2 linked regions of the Arabidopsis thaliana genome follow. The protein of the gene in region 2 interacts with the protein of the main gene of each other region in a pairwise test. Each region holds a gene or a part of one and is shown on either strand. Other genes may lie near its edges.

The links.
Region 1: the proteins of PAS1 (region 2) and AT1G25320 interact in a protein complementation assay, tested with the Arabidopsis thaliana proteins (one large-scale study listed by BioGRID).

Annotation. Positions count from the first base shown.
Region 1 is NC_003070.9:8,874,834-8,882,405, forward strand, and holds AT1G25320 (Leucine-rich repeat protein kinase family protein), read left to right. Parts: upstream 1-2,956; 5' UTR 2,957-3,154; coding exon 3,155-4,628; intron 4,629-4,712; coding exon 4,713-5,347; 3' UTR 5,348-5,555; downstream 5,556-7,572. Other genes in the region: MEE8 (basic helix-loop-helix (bHLH) DNA-binding family protein), read right to left, coding at 1-1; CES (basic helix-loop-helix (bHLH) DNA-binding superfamily protein), read right to left, coding at 5,682-5,777, 5,864-5,944, 6,052-6,120, 6,590-6,655, 6,742-6,911, 6,996-7,185.
Region 2 is NC_003074.8:19,996,020-20,005,829, reverse strand, and holds PAS1 (FKBP-type peptidyl-prolyl cis-trans isomerase family protein), read right to left. Parts: upstream 5,010-9,810; 5' UTR 4,789-5,009; coding exon 4,715-4,788; intron 4,602-4,714; coding exon 4,517-4,601; exon of another isoform or gene 4,447-4,516; coding exon 4,377-4,446; intron 4,284-4,376; coding exon 4,186-4,283; intron 3,977-4,185; coding exon 3,854-3,976; intron 3,740-3,853; coding exon 3,707-3,739; intron 3,602-3,706; coding exon 3,543-3,601; intron 3,431-3,542; coding exon 3,349-3,430; intron 3,254-3,348; coding exon 3,095-3,253; intron 2,999-3,094; coding exon 2,941-2,998; intron 2,781-2,940; coding exon 2,632-2,780; intron 2,523-2,631; coding exon 2,425-2,522; intron 2,332-2,424; coding exon 2,262-2,331; intron 2,181-2,261; coding exon 2,121-2,180; intron 1,961-2,120; coding exon 1,904-1,960; intron 1,827-1,903; coding exon 1,758-1,826; intron 1,645-1,757; coding exon 1,567-1,644; intron 1,474-1,566; coding exon 1,372-1,473; intron 1,286-1,371; coding exon 1,214-1,285; intron 1,079-1,213; and 3 more. Other genes in the region: AT3G54000 (TIP41-like protein), read right to left, coding at 7,633-7,748, 7,846-7,935, 8,025-8,289, 8,388-8,666, 8,765-9,073. UniProt on the Arabidopsis thaliana protein: PPIases accelerate the folding of proteins. It catalyzes the cis-trans isomerization of proline imidic peptide bonds in oligopeptides. Essential protein regulating cell division, adhesion and elongation throughout the plant development and embryogenesis.

The sequences.
Region 1 (7,572 bases), on a different chromosome or scaffold from region 2:
TTCTTTTGATAGTTTTAAGTGATTCTTTACTGATAAGTTTGGCTGATTTGAGTTTAACGCAGACATGCTTCAAGGGTACTTATACAGGGAGAAAAGGATATATATGTAAACTACTCATGACGAGAAACAACAACGTTTGCCGCTCAAAAAGCTACTCTTCGTCACTAAGTTACTAATTCTTTAAATAAAATTACATTTATGTAAGGTGGACATCTAAGGTTCATAGATATAGCCAAGAAATGTAACGTGTCCATTTTTGACCTAAGTCTACGGTTTAAAAAATTAGAGATTTTGGAATGCAGGATATATACACACATAATACGACAATATTAGGACCTTACGAAGTCACGAGGCTCTTGTAATCGTTTACTCAGAACTCCACATGCATTAGGAGTACTCTACGTCGTACCTTTAATACAAATATTTAAATATTTTCGAGAATGATCTAATTAATCTAGTGATGTAAGTTACAATATTTCTGAATGGTACCTTCCGGTTTAGAGAGAACCTTGAGTTGCTAAGGGAGATATCCGGTTATAAAACGGTTCATGCGGCAACCTTGTTTATCATGCGGCAACCTTGTTTGTCATGCGGCATGATCTTTGTCAGCATTCAGCATGTATGTTGGGATTTAGACTTTCTAAAATCTTATCTAGCACTAAAGTTTTGACATCAGCCTTATTTGTCTATATGTATGGGTGACATGGTAATAATTTCTTTAACTAAATCTCTGGGATGATTTTTTAAATTAATTTGTAGTTTCTTTAAGAAGTTACACAACATGAGGTTATAACAATTTTACGTGACATATTTATAACTCACAAATGAACTATTTTTTGTTTTTTATATCTCAGGTGATCGTAAATGCTTTATAATCTCGGGATATGGAAAACAATGTTAAATTGAGCTATTTTGTTTTTGAAATATGAAAATTCATAGTTTAAAATTTACACAATCGATATAATATTCTACAGATTGAGAAATTTATTACCCGTATATAATGATAAGTAAGATTGATTTCAAGAACTTTTGGATCATGAGTCCCTCTATTTTGTTAGTCTTAGTTTAGGACTCTTCAGATTCAAAGTTTTATATATTAAAAAAGTAAATAGTTTCTAAACATGAGTGTTATATCATCGATCCAAACAATTGGTTTTGACAACGTTGCACTATTTAGGTAAAATATGCATCCATGGAAACCAAGATTAATAAACATGATGTTTCGAAAATATTAAAGAAAACTGCAATAGAGAAAGAAAAAAGAAAAAAAACACAAAGACCAAGTGAGATCATGTTATTGCGTAATACATGTGGATTGCGTAGTTTGGTAATGATGTTAGATAGTCTATGCGCTCCAGTGCTCCACAGCAACGGCTAACTTCTCGAACACACGCTCCTATTTTCAACGTGCCAAAGTTAGAGCCTAGCTTTGATTATCTTTTCTGGTCTATACTCATATTTTGCTGCTCCATGTATCCACCATCTCTTTTACTGGGGCACACTATATATATGTAAAGTGCTTTTACTGATAAAAAATAGTAAACAAAATGATATTTTAATCTTTTTACGTTCTCGTAGTATTCTTTTGTCCAGTCTAATTTACAAAGACTGAGAACATTCATTCTTCACTTAATATTATATAGTGTTGGTGCCTTGGTGGTATGGATGATTGATATGCTGAGAAAGCAAAGCATAAAACATAGGTCCAGGCATGTCTGTTCAATGTATGATATCTCTTTTAGCAACACTTTTCTTCTATCCTATCGGAACTGCAATTACTTTTTTGGTGTCATTCTCATTCATGTGCTTTATTTTATAGGAAATTTTAATTATTTGAAAGAAGTTTCTATTATTGGCTGTTAGTAAAACCTCTAAAATTAATCTCACTACTATGAATCAGCATCTATAACTTCATAGTATATCACCACCACAACTATGTTTTTTTTGTTAAATCCCAAACTGTTATTAAATGTGAAAGATCTTTAATCAAATACATATAGACAATCTCCATTTGTATAACCTTATGTTTATTTCCTTTTAGTTAATTAGCTTGAACTAAGTTTCACAAATTACATTTACATCTACACATTCACATGCACATACATTGAATATCAACTAATTTTAAAACTGATTAGTTAGTATACGTTCGGAGTAGCTAGACAACTATAGACATCATGATTCACATTTTTCAATAAATTGATTACTTGATGATACAAATGTGTGTGTTAACGGCTGGAAAACATACAAAGAGGGACATCATAGTTCATAAAGGTGTTCCCTTTATATATAGTTATACATAGAATGTGGGATAATCATGGAGCCGTACTAATCACTCTATTATTTTCTTTACAAAATAAAGTAGAAGTAGGGGTATTACTTTTTCTACTCCAGCTTACTCTTGTCTACTGCAACTATTATTCATTCGACTGGAACCATTAGCTCATACATATCTTGTATACAATTACTTAAAAATTTGTATTGTAAATGATAATCATAAATATACATTTTTGTTTGGTAATTATAATCATATTAAATATAGTTAATTGTTAAAGGTCGGTTAGTTTGTCTCATTCCTTTTGAAGTATGAAAATCACAAATTTTCATTAAGAGAAAACGAAAAATAACAAATAAAACAGCTTCTTTTAATATTAAAGTTTTTTTCTTGAAAAATTGTAATAATAATATGTGAGCTAAAAGTATATAAAAATTGGCATAAGTGCTCTTTCGTTATGATAAAGAAAGTGCATGAATTTCTCCGCAAGAGCTAATCTTTTGCACATTTGTCATCATCATTCTCAAGTTTTGTATTTTCCCATCATTCTATATCACTTAAACTATTCAACATTGATTTTAATTCACCAATAAATGAAAACAGAAATTTGTATAAATAAAAATACTAATAAATTGTTGATCTCAAAAAAAAAAAGTTGGGATATTTATAGATAGATACCAAAGTCCAAAGGTCCAACTTAGGAAGCCCGAATCTTCTATCAACGTCTCTCACAGTCCCTTTTCATGCTTTCACACTCTCACTGCTCTTCTCTCTCCAATTCTCTCATCAATCTCCGCAAACTCTTCTCATTCTTGATATCTCCATTACCAAAAGTAAACTCTTGTCCAAATTCTGCTACTTTTTTGTACTGATTCCTCCGAAATGTCGGTGGGATCTCTTTTATTCATGTTTCTTCTTATCTGGAACTTCAATGGCGAATTGAATGCTCTAAACGACGAAGGGTTTGCTCTTTTAACTCTGAAGCAGTCTATTTCAAAAGATCCAGATGGTTCTTTAAGCAATTGGAACTCAGAGAATCAAAACCCTTGTTCTTGGAATGGAGTCACTTGTGATGATAACAAGGTTGTTGTCTCTCTTAGCATCCCAAAGAAGAAACTTTTAGGTTATCTTCCTTCTTCTCTTGGTTTACTCTCTAATCTCCGTCATTTGAATTTGAGAAGCAATGAGCTTAGTGGGAACTTACCTGTTGAGCTTTTTAAGGCTCAAGGTCTTCAAAGTTTGGTTCTTTATGGGAATTTCTTGTCTGGGTCCATTCCAAATGAGATTGGTGACTTAAAGTTTCTGCAAATTTTGGATCTTTCTCGTAATTCTCTTAATGGGTCTATTCCAGAATCGGTTTTGAAGTGTAATAGGCTTAGGAGCTTTGATTTGAGTCAGAATAATCTCACTGGTTCTGTTCCTAGTGGATTTGGTCAGTCTTTGGCTTCTTTGCAGAAGCTTGATCTTTCTTCTAACAATCTTATTGGTCTTGTTCCTGATGATTTGGGGAATTTGACTAGATTGCAAGGAACTCTTGATTTGTCTCATAATTCGTTTAGTGGCTCGATTCCAGCTAGTTTGGGGAATTTGCCTGAGAAAGTTTATGTCAATCTAGCTTACAACAACTTGAGTGGACCAATCCCACAAACCGGTGCTTTGGTGAACAGAGGACCAACTGCATTCTTGGGGAATCCAAGACTCTGTGGCCCTCCATTGAAGGATCCTTGTTTGCCAGATACGGATAGTTCTTCAACTTCTCACCCTTTTGTACCGGATAACAACGAGCAAGGTGGAGGAGGGTCAAAGAAAGGAGAAGGTTTAAGTAAAACTGCTATTGTTGCAATTGTGGTTTGTGATTTCATTGGAATCTGCATTGTGGGATTTCTCTTCTCTTGTTGTTACTTGAAGATTTGTGCACGTCGTAATAGTGTGGATGAGGAAGGCTATGTGTTGGAGAAAGAAGGGAAAGAAAAGAAAGGTTCCTTCTGTTTCAGAAGAGATGGATCAGAGTCCCCTTCTTCGGAAAATCTTGAGCCACAACAAGATCTTGTTCTGTTGGATAAACATATTGCTTTGGATTTAGATGAGCTGCTTAAGGCTTCAGCTTTCGTTCTTGGAAAAGGCGGGAACGGGATTGTGTATAAAGTTGTCCTCGAAGATGGTCTAACGGTCGCTGTTAGGAGACTGGGAGAAGGAGGTTCCCAAAGATGCAAGGAGTTTCAGACAGAAGTTGAAGCAATTGGGAAGCTAAGGCATCCGAATATCGTTAGTCTTAAAGCTTATTATTGGTCAGTTGAAGAGAAACTTCTCATCTACGACTACATTCCTAATGGAAGCCTTACCAATGCACTCCACGGTAAACTATAAAACCTTTATGATAATACTTCTCATATCGTTTCTCTGTCTTGAAAACTCAATTTTGGTTTTTGTGTATGCTTAGGAAATCCTGGAATGGTGTCATTCAAGCCTCTGTCTTGGGGAGTTCGGTTAAAGATAATGAGGGGAATCTCAAGAGGGCTGGTGTATCTTCACGAGTTTAGTCCTAAAAAGTATGTTCATGGATCTCTGAAACTCAGCAATATACTGTTGGGACAGGATATGGAGCCTCATATCTCGGATTTCGGACTTATGCACCTCTCTAGCATTGCTGGAACATTGGAATCAACTACAGTTGACCGACCATCCAACAAGACCGCCTCATCGATTGGATCATCTGCAAACTTGAGCTCATTTTATCTGGCTCCTGAAGCCACTAAAGCAACAGTGAAGCCATCACAGAAATGGGATGTATACTCATTCGGAGTGATCTTGCTAGAGATGATAACGGGAAGATTACCGATTGTTTTCGTGGGTAAATCGGAAATGGAGATAGTCAAGTGGATACAAATGTGTATCGATGAGAAGAAAGAGATGTCAGACATTTTGGATCCTTATTTGGTGCCTAATGACACAGAGATTGAAGAAGAGGTCATCGCCGTGTTGAAAATTGCAATGGCTTGTGTTAGTACTAGCCCCGAGAAACGTCCACCGATGAAGCATATCGCTGATGCTTTGACCCAAATTTGCCTTCAGTGACTCGTAACAAAAACGGTTGCAAGTCAATTGTGTGTATGTAATGTGTTTAAAGGAAAAGTCTTACTGTTGTTGTTAGTTCCCCTTGTAATATCGAAATCTTATGTTACTTCAAATAGAGTTTCTTTGTAACATATAGCTTTACTCATTTTCATGGTACATACTATATGGATAAGCTTCATAATCATAAGGTTACACATTTATGATAAAAGTATACTGACGTCACACACAAAAGATAGATAAACCTATATATACTGATCATGGTAAGTCCTTATTTATGGAGTTTAATTATAGAAAAAGAGAATAATTTCTCTGAAAATTCATAATTTTCTTATGATCAAAAGGGTAATGTTGAACTGAAATTAGGAGGCTGTGTTCCAACGCTTTCTCTTAAAATCCTTTCCATCTCTGCTGCACTATGAATATTCCCTCCCTGTAATCATTTTTTTGTTAATACAAATCCATGAAAATGTTTTATCTTATTATAATTTTAATCATGTAATATTATGTGATAGTTACCTGAAATATATCCGTTGGCTCAATATCCAAAGAATTAAGGTCGTAACATGCACTTGCCGCTGAGAGTTTCATGGACAAAAACTGTAGTCAAGAGGCCAAAGCAGGAAAACATTTAAGTATTAGTGGGATATTATAAAAGTTAATGGGATGTTTGAACTTTGAAGAGTGAAATCAATGGCCTAACTAACCTCGATTTGATTCTGGAGTGATCGTACATAATCTATGATGACATCAAGCATCACTGCCATTCCCATTGCCTGCATCACGTTTTGAATTATCATTATAGAGAATAAACCCATTTTGATTTATTACTGTGGAAAAAAAAAATCGCTATACAAAAAAACAATCTGTTCATTTACGTAAGAGACGCTGCCACACCCTTTTAGATTTTGGCGTTCCGAAAAAACAAAAACAAAAACTAATTATTTCTATAGTTTTAAAATATTCTATCACATGATTCCTAATTTTTTACACTTTAATTCAATGATACATAGAAAAAAAATATTAATAGTTAAAGAATTGTGAGCTTGAAAAATTATCTTTAAAAAGTGTTTTTAAACCAAAAAATAGCACCAGAGTTACTTGGATTTAGAGGTAACTAATTTATCTAGAGTTACTTGTTTTTAGAGTTTTGTTGATTTTATTTTAATTACAAAACAAAAATTAGGGAGTTGTAGACAACAAACAAACAAAAAGAAATATTAGGGTTTGCGTTAATTCAAGTACCTTGTAGCATCCTGGAACAAGGTCTTGTAAGCATTTCAGCCTTTCATTGATCTTCTCTCTTCGTACCTTTATGCATTCCACAAAGAATCCAACACAACTAAGAAAAGTGAAGTTTTTTGTACTTTTGAGTATATATGTATTTGTAGAATTACCCTTTCAGCCAAACTATGGCTATCAGTAGCTTGACCTCTCTTAGCTCGGACATGAACAACATCTTTTGGCTTCTGAGTCTCATCTCCATTCATGGCTTCTTCCTCTTCCGACCTCTTTCTTCTTCTCTTCGACCCACTCTCTTCTTTATTTCCTTTTCTTCTCGTATTACCTGCGATTTCTAGCTTCATCAGAACACACATAAACATAGATATAACAGTTTTTCCCACAAACAATAAAATTATAAAATTTTCACCGTGCAATAAATTTGGGAAGAAGTGAGAATTATTGTGATTGGCATCAACTAAAGCTCCATTGGAGAAAAGCATGAAACTGGAAGGGGTAGAAGCTGGTAAGTCCAGATTTATTAGCTCTGGATTTTGGTTAATGTGTGCAAAGAAAGGATCATGACCATTATTATAGTTATATGGCTCAAACCGTGCCATTAGAGACACTACAAATTAAATCAAAATATGATTTCCTTTTTGTGAGCTAGTTTTGTTTTTTTTCTTTCTCTAAGACAGTTATAAAACTTGCAATTGAGTTGTGATTGTTTATATAGATAGAAATGTCTAAGATGGGGTGAAATATTTAATAAGTTAAGTTTTTAAATGATTTGGTTATTTGCTCATGTATTGTGTGACTTTTGGTGAGAATGAGAAAGAAGCGTGTGAGACCAAAGAGACACTCGTAGCTAGGTTTCCATTTATCACTGTGCAGTAGATTTTGTGGGACCCATGTTCAATGTTAGATATATCTAACTTGTCGGGACCTTTTGAGTATCCCTTTTAATGTAACAAGTATGGTGCCAAATTGAAACCGAAGAAATTGCA
Region 2 (9,810 bases):
TGAGACGACGATGATAAGCAAAAAGCCCTAAAACAAATTTCTCCGTTGCCCCCAAAAAAATCTCCGATAAGAAGCAAAATCAGCGTTTTGCAAAATCAATTTAAGCAACGTTTTGGGTGTACGATAAAACGCGAGTTCCACACGGAGAAAACGGTTTAATCTTTCTTTTTGTTTTTAAAAGTGGCGACATTTTATTCAGCCGAGTGGATGATTGGTGGGTGGGATTAATTACTCTGTGTTATCTAAAGTTGATTTATATAATCACACATTTCCTACAACATAAAATTCGTTAAAGCATATTTATATACATATTTTGCATATGTACAAAACATTTTCTTTGTAAAATAATTCGTTTTCCCAAAACATCTTATACTAAAAGTAGAAAAAATAGAAAAGTAGATACTGTTTTTCAACAAAAACCTAACACTAATCATTACAACAATCTATACAGTAGGATAATCCTATTACCTATAGGATAAAAAGATGACTAATGAATAAATTTTGGGAGATTATACAATTAAGTCATGTTCTACATTAACATCTTCTTTCTTGTCATCATCTCGTAGAATTTGAATGAAACAAACAAACACCAATCACTTGAGGAAGCAAGAGAGGATCGTGTAGTGGTGCAAATAATTCCATCTTTGAGCAACTACTTTCATAAACTAAACCAAACAAAAATACATTAAGCTTAACGTTTAATCCATTAGTTTTATATTTTCTGAGTCTACAGTGCCGTTGGTTTGTTTATTCATTCATATCTCTCTCATGTAAATTTGGCGCTCACAAACTGGAAAATCAAAATCCCTATCAGAACAACACCAAGCTGGATTCCGATTTGGAGCATCACGTTCTTCAGAAACGGCCAGGCTTTCTCCGACCATTTCCTCTTCCTTTCCGTGCTCACTGTCGTAGCTCCTTCTTCTTCCAGTGTTTCATCATCATCATTATCCTTTGTCTCATCTACTTCTTCTATAGTTTTAGACTCCTCTCTTATTTCTGAACCAACTTCGGTTATCTCCCCCGGTCTCTTGTCGAATAATCCTTTGAACTGTTTTCTAGCCTTGCTCTCCGCTTCCTGTGAGCTCAAAAGAAAACAACTCAGAGATCTTATATTAAGTAACAAAATTGGCAAAACAAGCCCAAACCATAAGTAGCCTTAATGAACTCGATTCGGGTGGACATTTGGTTGAGATAGTTTTCAAACACTGACCTGTTCCTTCTGCTTCAGTTTCAATAGAGCAGCGGTCGCATCAGCTTCTGATGATTTATCCACTTTGATCATCTAAAACACAGACACATAAGTCAGTGAGTAAGCAGATTTCTGAATCTATTCACTAGATAATGATATGCAGGTTTAGCATAATATACCATATTGAAGTCATTTCTAGCGTCATCATACTCTCCACCTGCAATGTAAGCCATTCCGCGGCGGTATAGACCTTTCACATGACCAGGCTTTGCTTCTAGAACCTATTTGGAAATTGGTGCACAAAAGGTCTCAGAAATCCCAACCTCTTATTCCAGAATCAAGCCTTCTTAAGAGAATTGTTTATTGAATGCTACCTTATTGCATGTCTCTATAGACTTCCTCCACTCTCCCATTTTAAGCAAGCAAGCCGCAACATTCAGATGTAACATATTCTTCAAATATCAGCAGAGCAAGGATACGAGAGCTAGTTAGTACTTAATACTTCTAATATTATCAAATCTAGACGTATCTGCAACTACAAACGTAATGAGAAGATGGAACTCACCCTTGTGTCACCAAATATTTTTCCTTCATCTTCATCTTGTGGGTTAACATGATTAAATTCCCGGAGCACCTGGTTTTGGATTTACCGCTCAGACACAATGAAACAAATGCTAATACTGGAATTGGTTATCACATGACTTCTATTACCTTTTCGTACTTTGCTTTTGCGAGCTCAAATTTTCCTTCTTTGAAAAGCCTATTACCCTGAAGTTCATAGTATAACCAAAAGGAGAGAAGAACCATAAATTAATAGATCTGGTGTGACCTGATTGCAGAAAAGATTAGCTAATAGCAAATTCTGAAGTGATAAAAATTTAGGACTATAGGTCAAATTATAAATGGTAGCAGAATATTTTATCCATACCGTGCTTCTGATTTTATCTGCCTCGTCCATGATGCTCTGGAAGTTCAAGCCAGTCCAGTCCTGAGACAGAATCTCTAGACTTATAAGAAACGGAAGCTGTTTACAATTTCCATGGTAAGTATCAACACTAGACCAACTTACTCTTGGCGTTTCGAAACCAAGGAGTTCAATCTCCCACTGAACATGTGCACCTTCAGACACGCCAGGTGGTCTATCAGAAAAGAAAACATGAAATGCGTTTATTTCTCCGACAACAGTTTATACACTATCGTGTTAGTGTTATTTACACAGTTAAGAGTATAACCTCGGAAATTTGTCATATGCATAATCAGGGGGGCATGTAACAAGAGCAATCTCCCCAGGTAGCATCAAACGAGTACACATCTCAAACCCTTCAGGGACCTGCAAATACGACAGAATAATCTTAACCAGTCCGTGCGTAGAGATATATTTCAACTAAAACGTCTAAAGAACTCCACTAGGTTTTCCTATAAACGTTGGAGTAACTGACCAGTCCTTCTCCTGAACTGAACTCCAACGGTTGATCATTATTGTCAATCTTGCTATCATAGAAGACAGTCTTCTCTTCATTGAGAAGCATGCCCTTGTAGTGAACGCTTAAACGACTATCTTGGAGAGGACAATCCATTGGAAACTCGCCTAATAAGTTGGTCAAACGTTGTAGATCAGAATAGTCTAGCGGATAAACTATAAACAAGAGCTGGAATCTAGCAGATGCCCCAGCAAGATATATAAGAACAAAAACCCGCACCATGTTGAAACAGATAAGAGACAGTTGAAAAGAAAGTGTGAAACATACCTCTTCCATCTCGAATTCGACGTTTTATGAGACGTCCATCTCCAAGCATGTCCCGCACCTTCAAAGCGAGAACTTGAATGTCAGTCGCTCAGTTTCCCAATTCTTAAATGCACAAAATACTGTTTTCTTATTGCATTGCATTTGTCTTTCTTACCTGAATGAAATGTACCAGTTCAACCTCAAAATGAACTTCCTCAAGGTCTTGATCTATATGCAACAAAGGAGATTCAGTCAAGTACTGCTTGCGAACATATATCACTGCCTTCTCCTTCCGAGCCATGGTTCCAATTCCGATTTCAAGACCTTTAGGCACCTGCCTAATTGACGAGCAATAGTCAGAAATGTATTCCACTAGAATGGATTTGCATGGACAGAGAGTAAAAACTGCCCCATAAACTTAACAATTACCTCAGATTTTCCAAATGTGAAGAAATAAGGTTCTTCTGTGTGAGAGAAGATCACGTGTCCATCACCGGATTTAGCAGATATTCTAATATACACCACAGAAATGCATTAAAACTTCACTCAACGTTGCCCCAAATGGAAAAACAAGGTTAAATATATTTTGACCCAAAATGCAGGAATGATCAAGAATAAATTACCTGGCTTTCACTTCATAGGGTTCTCTGGGAGATTCCCAGCCCTCACCTTCATTTAGAATCTTTCATAGAAAAGGAAAGCAATGCTTGAGCCATCAGTACGAACAAGAAATACATCATCCCTGACCCATTTGATATGTCTACATATATGGAAAATCAGGTCCTACCTTCTTGATGACCCCCAGATCATCACTTGCAATCTGGAAATTAACACAAAGGAAAGGAAAGCATAAGTCAAAACAGATGAAATGCAAAATTTCAGAGTCTTTCGGCTAACTAATGCACTGTTATCTTGGTTAGTGATGAGATCTCGCCTTGGCTTTAGAAAAATCCAACAACTCAATCTCAAAATGAAGCTCATCATCTTTTGGAAAATTTTCTGGAGCTGAGACTGGACAATCAATCTCTGCATAGTGCATTTCAGGTTTCATCTTGAACTGAAAAAAGGAAAAAGATAAAGACTTTTCAGCCGTTGAGAATCAAGAAAGTAAGTTGAAATAGCTAATGGAAGATTTGGCGAATCGACTCATTGAACTTGAGGTAAATCAACAAGACCCTCTTCAGAACCCAAACTACGCAGCCGAGTAAAGAGACACAAACGTTATCATTGAGGCGACACTGATCTTTAAAGAGTTTTTAGAGTTACCATTGCAATTTCACCCTTGTGCATCGTGGGAATTCCTTCGAGCAATCCAAGAATCATTTTGCTGTTTCCCAAGACATCTCTGATCGGTACACCTCTCCCTGAAGGAACATCAAACAACACATTCAACGATGCCCCTAACAAAAAGCTAAAAGCAACACCCTACTGAGAAATGTTTCATCAATCAATCTCACCTCCAGATTCTGACCTCGTAGATTCCACAACTACACCATCCAGTGTCCGTACAGTGCAGTGATAAATAACCTGACGAAAAAACACTCATAAACAACCAAAATTGACCACGAGAAGCAAAAACAAAACCAAAATTATTAACCTGATCACCATCAACGGGGCTCGAATCACCTCCTCCAGGTCGCACCACAGCTTTCAACAAGCTCCCGGGAACAATTTTCTTCCTCCTATTCCACATTCAATTTCTCAAATTAATGATCTACTCACTACTCCCAGCAACAACAAAATAAAATCAACTGATTCAAACATAGATTACAAAGAAGATAAAACAATCATGAACCTCTTATCATCTTCCGTTTCGGATTTCTTCTTCTTCGGCAAGTAATTCTGCTCCGTCTGATCGCCTACCGCCATCGCCGATCAAATCCAGAGTTCCGCGAATTAGGATTTTGTGGAACGCAAACCCAGAGTGAAAGATCTACGACATGAAATCGATCCCAAAGCTCTCTCTCACTCCTCTCTACCTTCCTCTCTTGATACTGGCTGGGTAGCTCAACCAACAACAACTGTGTTGAATTGTGAAAAGTCTAGTAAATGTCTTACTGAATTAAACAAGATTAGTTTTTAAATTTTTTTATCAGACATATTGCTAAAAAATACACATATGTTTTTTTAACGGGCTTTAAGGCCAAACGGGCTTCCAATTATATAATAGTCCATGTAATCTGTTTTGTACTTTTTGTTTGCTTCATTTTTGCAAATGGTTACAATTTGTTAAGTTCGATATGAAAATTAAAAAATTGGTTACGTGTACTTTGCCCTAAAAGAAGGCTAGTTGTGAGCTTTCAATCTTAAATAATCTAATGTTATTTGCCTCAAAGTAAAAAACCAGACCGGATCCAAACCATTTTGGAATTATGTTGTATGTTTAATATAGGTGTACATGAGGTACCTCAATCGATTGTGGATGAACATTTTTGGGTCTATAATTTGTACAACAAATGAAACGAAAATTTGGTGATGGGTTGGTAGTTGTTAGTTGAGCAAATATGTTTCTCTTGAAAATTCTTCTATGCATGTGAGAACCAATTCACTCTATTCTGTTTTTTCCTAGCATTCAGAATCCATATAAGGAAAAAGGCCGAGCAAAGAAAATCCAAAATACACAAAAATTGAAACATAATTGGAGACAGATAGTTGCAAATAGGTCAACTTGTTTTAATATTGGTTTGCAGAAGCAGTGAACAGATAGTGACAGAAGAGGGAATACTATACTGTATTAATTTTGGTAGCTAATTTCTTCTCTTGCAAATATAGTTTGTCTTCAATAGTACGAAATTGTAACCTTTAAGAAATCAAGCATTGTAACTTTCATTAAATCTCGCACTTACCAATAATCCATAGGACATGTTTTTCATATTAGCATTTAATGCCATTTAAGCATATCATATGTTTTGTTAATTAGATAGGCCAATGTGGTTTCCGAGTATAACACAGAGAAAATAACTTGAAAATACAAATATGAATACTTCGAGCTTGTGAATCCGAAAATCTAAATGTGAATACAGAAACCTGTATGTATGCAAGCTTTATTTTCTTCAAAATAGTAATCAATCACATAGTTTATAGTATATGTACTATGTTGTTCTTATGTGAACTATGGAAAATGAGGAAAGTGGCATTAATGCGAGTCATGTGAAAGTGCAAATGGTTTTCATAAATGTTATATATCCGAACAATTACCAATAATTTAGTAGAACGATACGAACCGCGTGAAGCAGTCAACATACAAAAACACCCACATGAAAATGTGAGTCCCATTCCCATACTCCCATAGAAAATGGTTTAGATCAGGGTATTGGATTCAGGACTCGAGCAAGACGAATTGTTATTTGATGACTACATTACTGTGCTAATTAGATTATGTGGTTACAAAACTTGAAACAATAATATAGGTCGACGAAAGAAAATACTACTAGTAATAATAAAAAAACTGGACATGATGATTTGGTACTAGTTGTTGGAAACAAACACCGAGAAAACCAATACAACTAAAAACAGCTGCCACAACTCAAATTTCAATACTAATAGAAGTTGTCAATATTTATTAATCTGGAGTAACAAATGGCATAGGACAAACTCTGCACGTTGATCCACAAAGAAGACCAGCATTTCAGCATTTAATCAAAAATCGAGTTATTTAAGTGCTCGTGTGCTTCTAAATATTTAATGATCCATTAATTAATAGGTTGCCAAATTCCTTTCTATACGATTTTACCATTTCACTTGTTTAAATACTACTATATGACCTGAGTTTTGTTGCTAATAACAAGGCTCATTAGGTTTTGGGTATATAGTACATATCACCTTTTTATCTTTTTGTATTGGTTACTTCTGTCAGACTGTCAGTAGTAGTCTCAATGGTAAGTTTTCTTAAGAACATAGTAAATTTTTTTAGTGGATTTAGTAAGTAATATACTAATATTTATCGAAATTATAGTGTATGATAATACATACTTGTGAAACTAATTTGTGTTTTGACACCAAATTGATTAGGAATTTAGGATGTTCTTTCCTCAGATTTACCCCCCTTTTTTTTTTTTGCCTTTTGACGTCAATTTGTGTTACCCAGTTATGGGTTGTTGTTACTTATTACTGTTATCTCTCGGTTTGTGAGAATTTCTTTTCTAAAATTAGATTGTCAAATTCTGTCAATAAAAAAAAAAAAAGAGTACATGTTTTCTTAGTATTGATTTTTTCATCAAAATATGATTTCGCATGCAAAGATTTTAGGAAATATATATCCACCTGATGTGGGAATCAAAATCATATAACAAACTTTTCTTTTACTAATTACTTACTTATCCATTGCTTAAGAGTTGTGTGAACAAAAGAGAGGCAGAGAGGGATGACACTAAAGGAACAGCCCCGTGACAGACTGACATTTCATTTCCCAGTAAAAAAGTAAAAAAGAAAAACCCAAAAAAAAAGAAAAGAGAGTCACCTATCTCTGTCTGTCTCAAAGCTCTTTTCTTCATCTATCAAGCCATCAATGGTGGTTAAACGATCCAAAACCTCGTCCTCTCCACACTTCCAACTTTCTTTATTCTTCTTCCAAATCTTCCACTATCTCTACATTAACCCTAACCTTTTTTCCACTATTTCACTACCTGTCATCAACTCTAATCTTTCTTCAAACCAAACCCATCATAAAATCTTCCCCCTAAACACACCCAAAAGTTACGAACATAAAATCAGTCAATAAGCCCACTCCGATGGTAACCGAGGCTCTTGCACTGACTGCTCCGCCCTCACGCCACCGACCATCTGGCTCGAGAACCCACCATTGTTGCTCCTCTGTCTCCACGACACATCTACATAAATTAACAAAAAAATTAAACCAACTGGTGATAAAATTGACCGCTCAATTAACTTAAATAAGCTCTCGAGGTTGAGATTAATTTGGTATACCGTTGAGAGTAGCCGTAGACCGGACCGGTTCGCCTAAATTCAGATTCAGGACCTGAGCCAGTCTAGCCGGAACCAAAACCGTCGATATAGCTAAACCCAAGAGTAAAAACAGTTCTCATCATAAAACTAAAATATACCAAAGATTGACATTTGGGGAATTGAGCTTTTTAGGAACTTACTAGGCTTCTCTCGAGTCTCAGTTCTTGAAGTATGGTTAACACTTCGAGGTAAGAAGACACCGGTTCCGGTTGAGCCACGTTTTCCGGTATGGTCCCCGATGAATACAGCTCTCATAACATCACGCCTCGGAAACTGATTAGACCATGCAGAAGACGACAAATCCACTGGACCAACATTTTTGTTGCCATTAACTCTTACTCCTCTGTTCTGACGCACCAATTGGCGACGATGTTTCATTAACTGTTGCTGCTTTAGCTGCTGAAACTGCACAAGAAGACAAATGAAAACAAACCAATCAGCACAATCGCACACAAAAACTCAAAGATCAAGTGTTTAAGAGAGTTTTGCTTGTGATTGATTACCTGGATAGCTTGTAGCTTCTGGTATTGGAGAGATTGATGATTGTTGTAGTAACCGGTGCCGTTGTTAGAGTGGTTTTTGACGGTAGCGGAAAGTTTTGCGGGAGATCCGAGAAGTCCTCTGCCACTATGGTATGGTTCGTCGTTGATACTCATCCTCTCCGCAGCACAGTACAGATCCCATGAAGAAACTCGCGAATTAAGGTTCTGGTTAAACCGCTGATTCAAGCAACAACAGCCAGTTCCGGCGACACACGGAGGCGAACGATTCATTTCCCACGCCTGAACAACCACGGAGAACAAAATTCCCAAAAATTAAAAATCCAACGAAAACAGAGAAGATTGAGAACGAATTTGGTTTTAGATCGAAATCAAACTACCTTGTGGTCATTACCGGCCGGAAAAGCGTGATTACCGCAAACTCCACCGGAGAAATCATCTTTGAGAGATGACATAACCATCTGCCGAGTCAATCCGGCTAAGAAACTCTCCTCGTCATCTTCCTTCACCGTGTTAGGCTTAACGGTAGAGCCAAAAGTCCCAAATCCATGACGAGGCTCGTACGGGAACAAGGAGTCATCGATTCCTACACTGTTATTCTCCTTCTCAACGAGAAAATCATCGTCAGTGAGAAACTCCGTCGGAAGCCAAAACTCAGCATCGTCGACTACGCTACTAGGAGGTTCCATGGCTAAAGTGAAATTTTCACGGAAATCGAGAAGGGAACTTTAATAACGGAGGTTGCTGTTTTGTTAAGTTTCAATAACGAGTTTTGTGAAATCTCAGGGACCCAGTCTCAGGCGAAAAATAACAGAAAACAAAAAAATACTAGAAGACGAGGGAAAGAGACTGTCATGTATTTGTAGAAGGAAGAAGAAGAAGAAGAAGTAGTATAGAGAGGTGGTGGTGGTGGTGGTGGGGAAAAGGTTTCGTTCTTCACGCGCTTACAGTTAGAAAGTGGAGTTGACGCGCTAACAACTACTACTAGACTACTACGACTAACTAATACAGAGAGGGTAATGGCAAGTGACTTTGTGGGACCTCACTCTCGGAATATCTGTAAAGCGAGTTGACTACCACGTGATAGGGTTATAACCGTCATTTGACTGGCACGTGCCTTGTTTTATTTTACTTAATTATCCTTACAACTTGGAGTTTAGGATTCAATTGTGATTTTATCCCTTTTGTAATTTTAGTTAGCATTTAATGTGAAGCGTGAATGTTTTTGATACGTAGTATACGATGTTTTATTTCCTATTTAAGATACACAAGTCGGATCTTTCTTTAGGTACGTGGAACAATTATTGTGATTTAAATGATGAAAGTCTAATAACTGAAATGATTAGCAGAGAGAGACAGGGCTATTATTGTCATTTAAGTAAGGATTAACACATACCGTCGTGGAAAGCGCGTTTCTTTCAAGTTT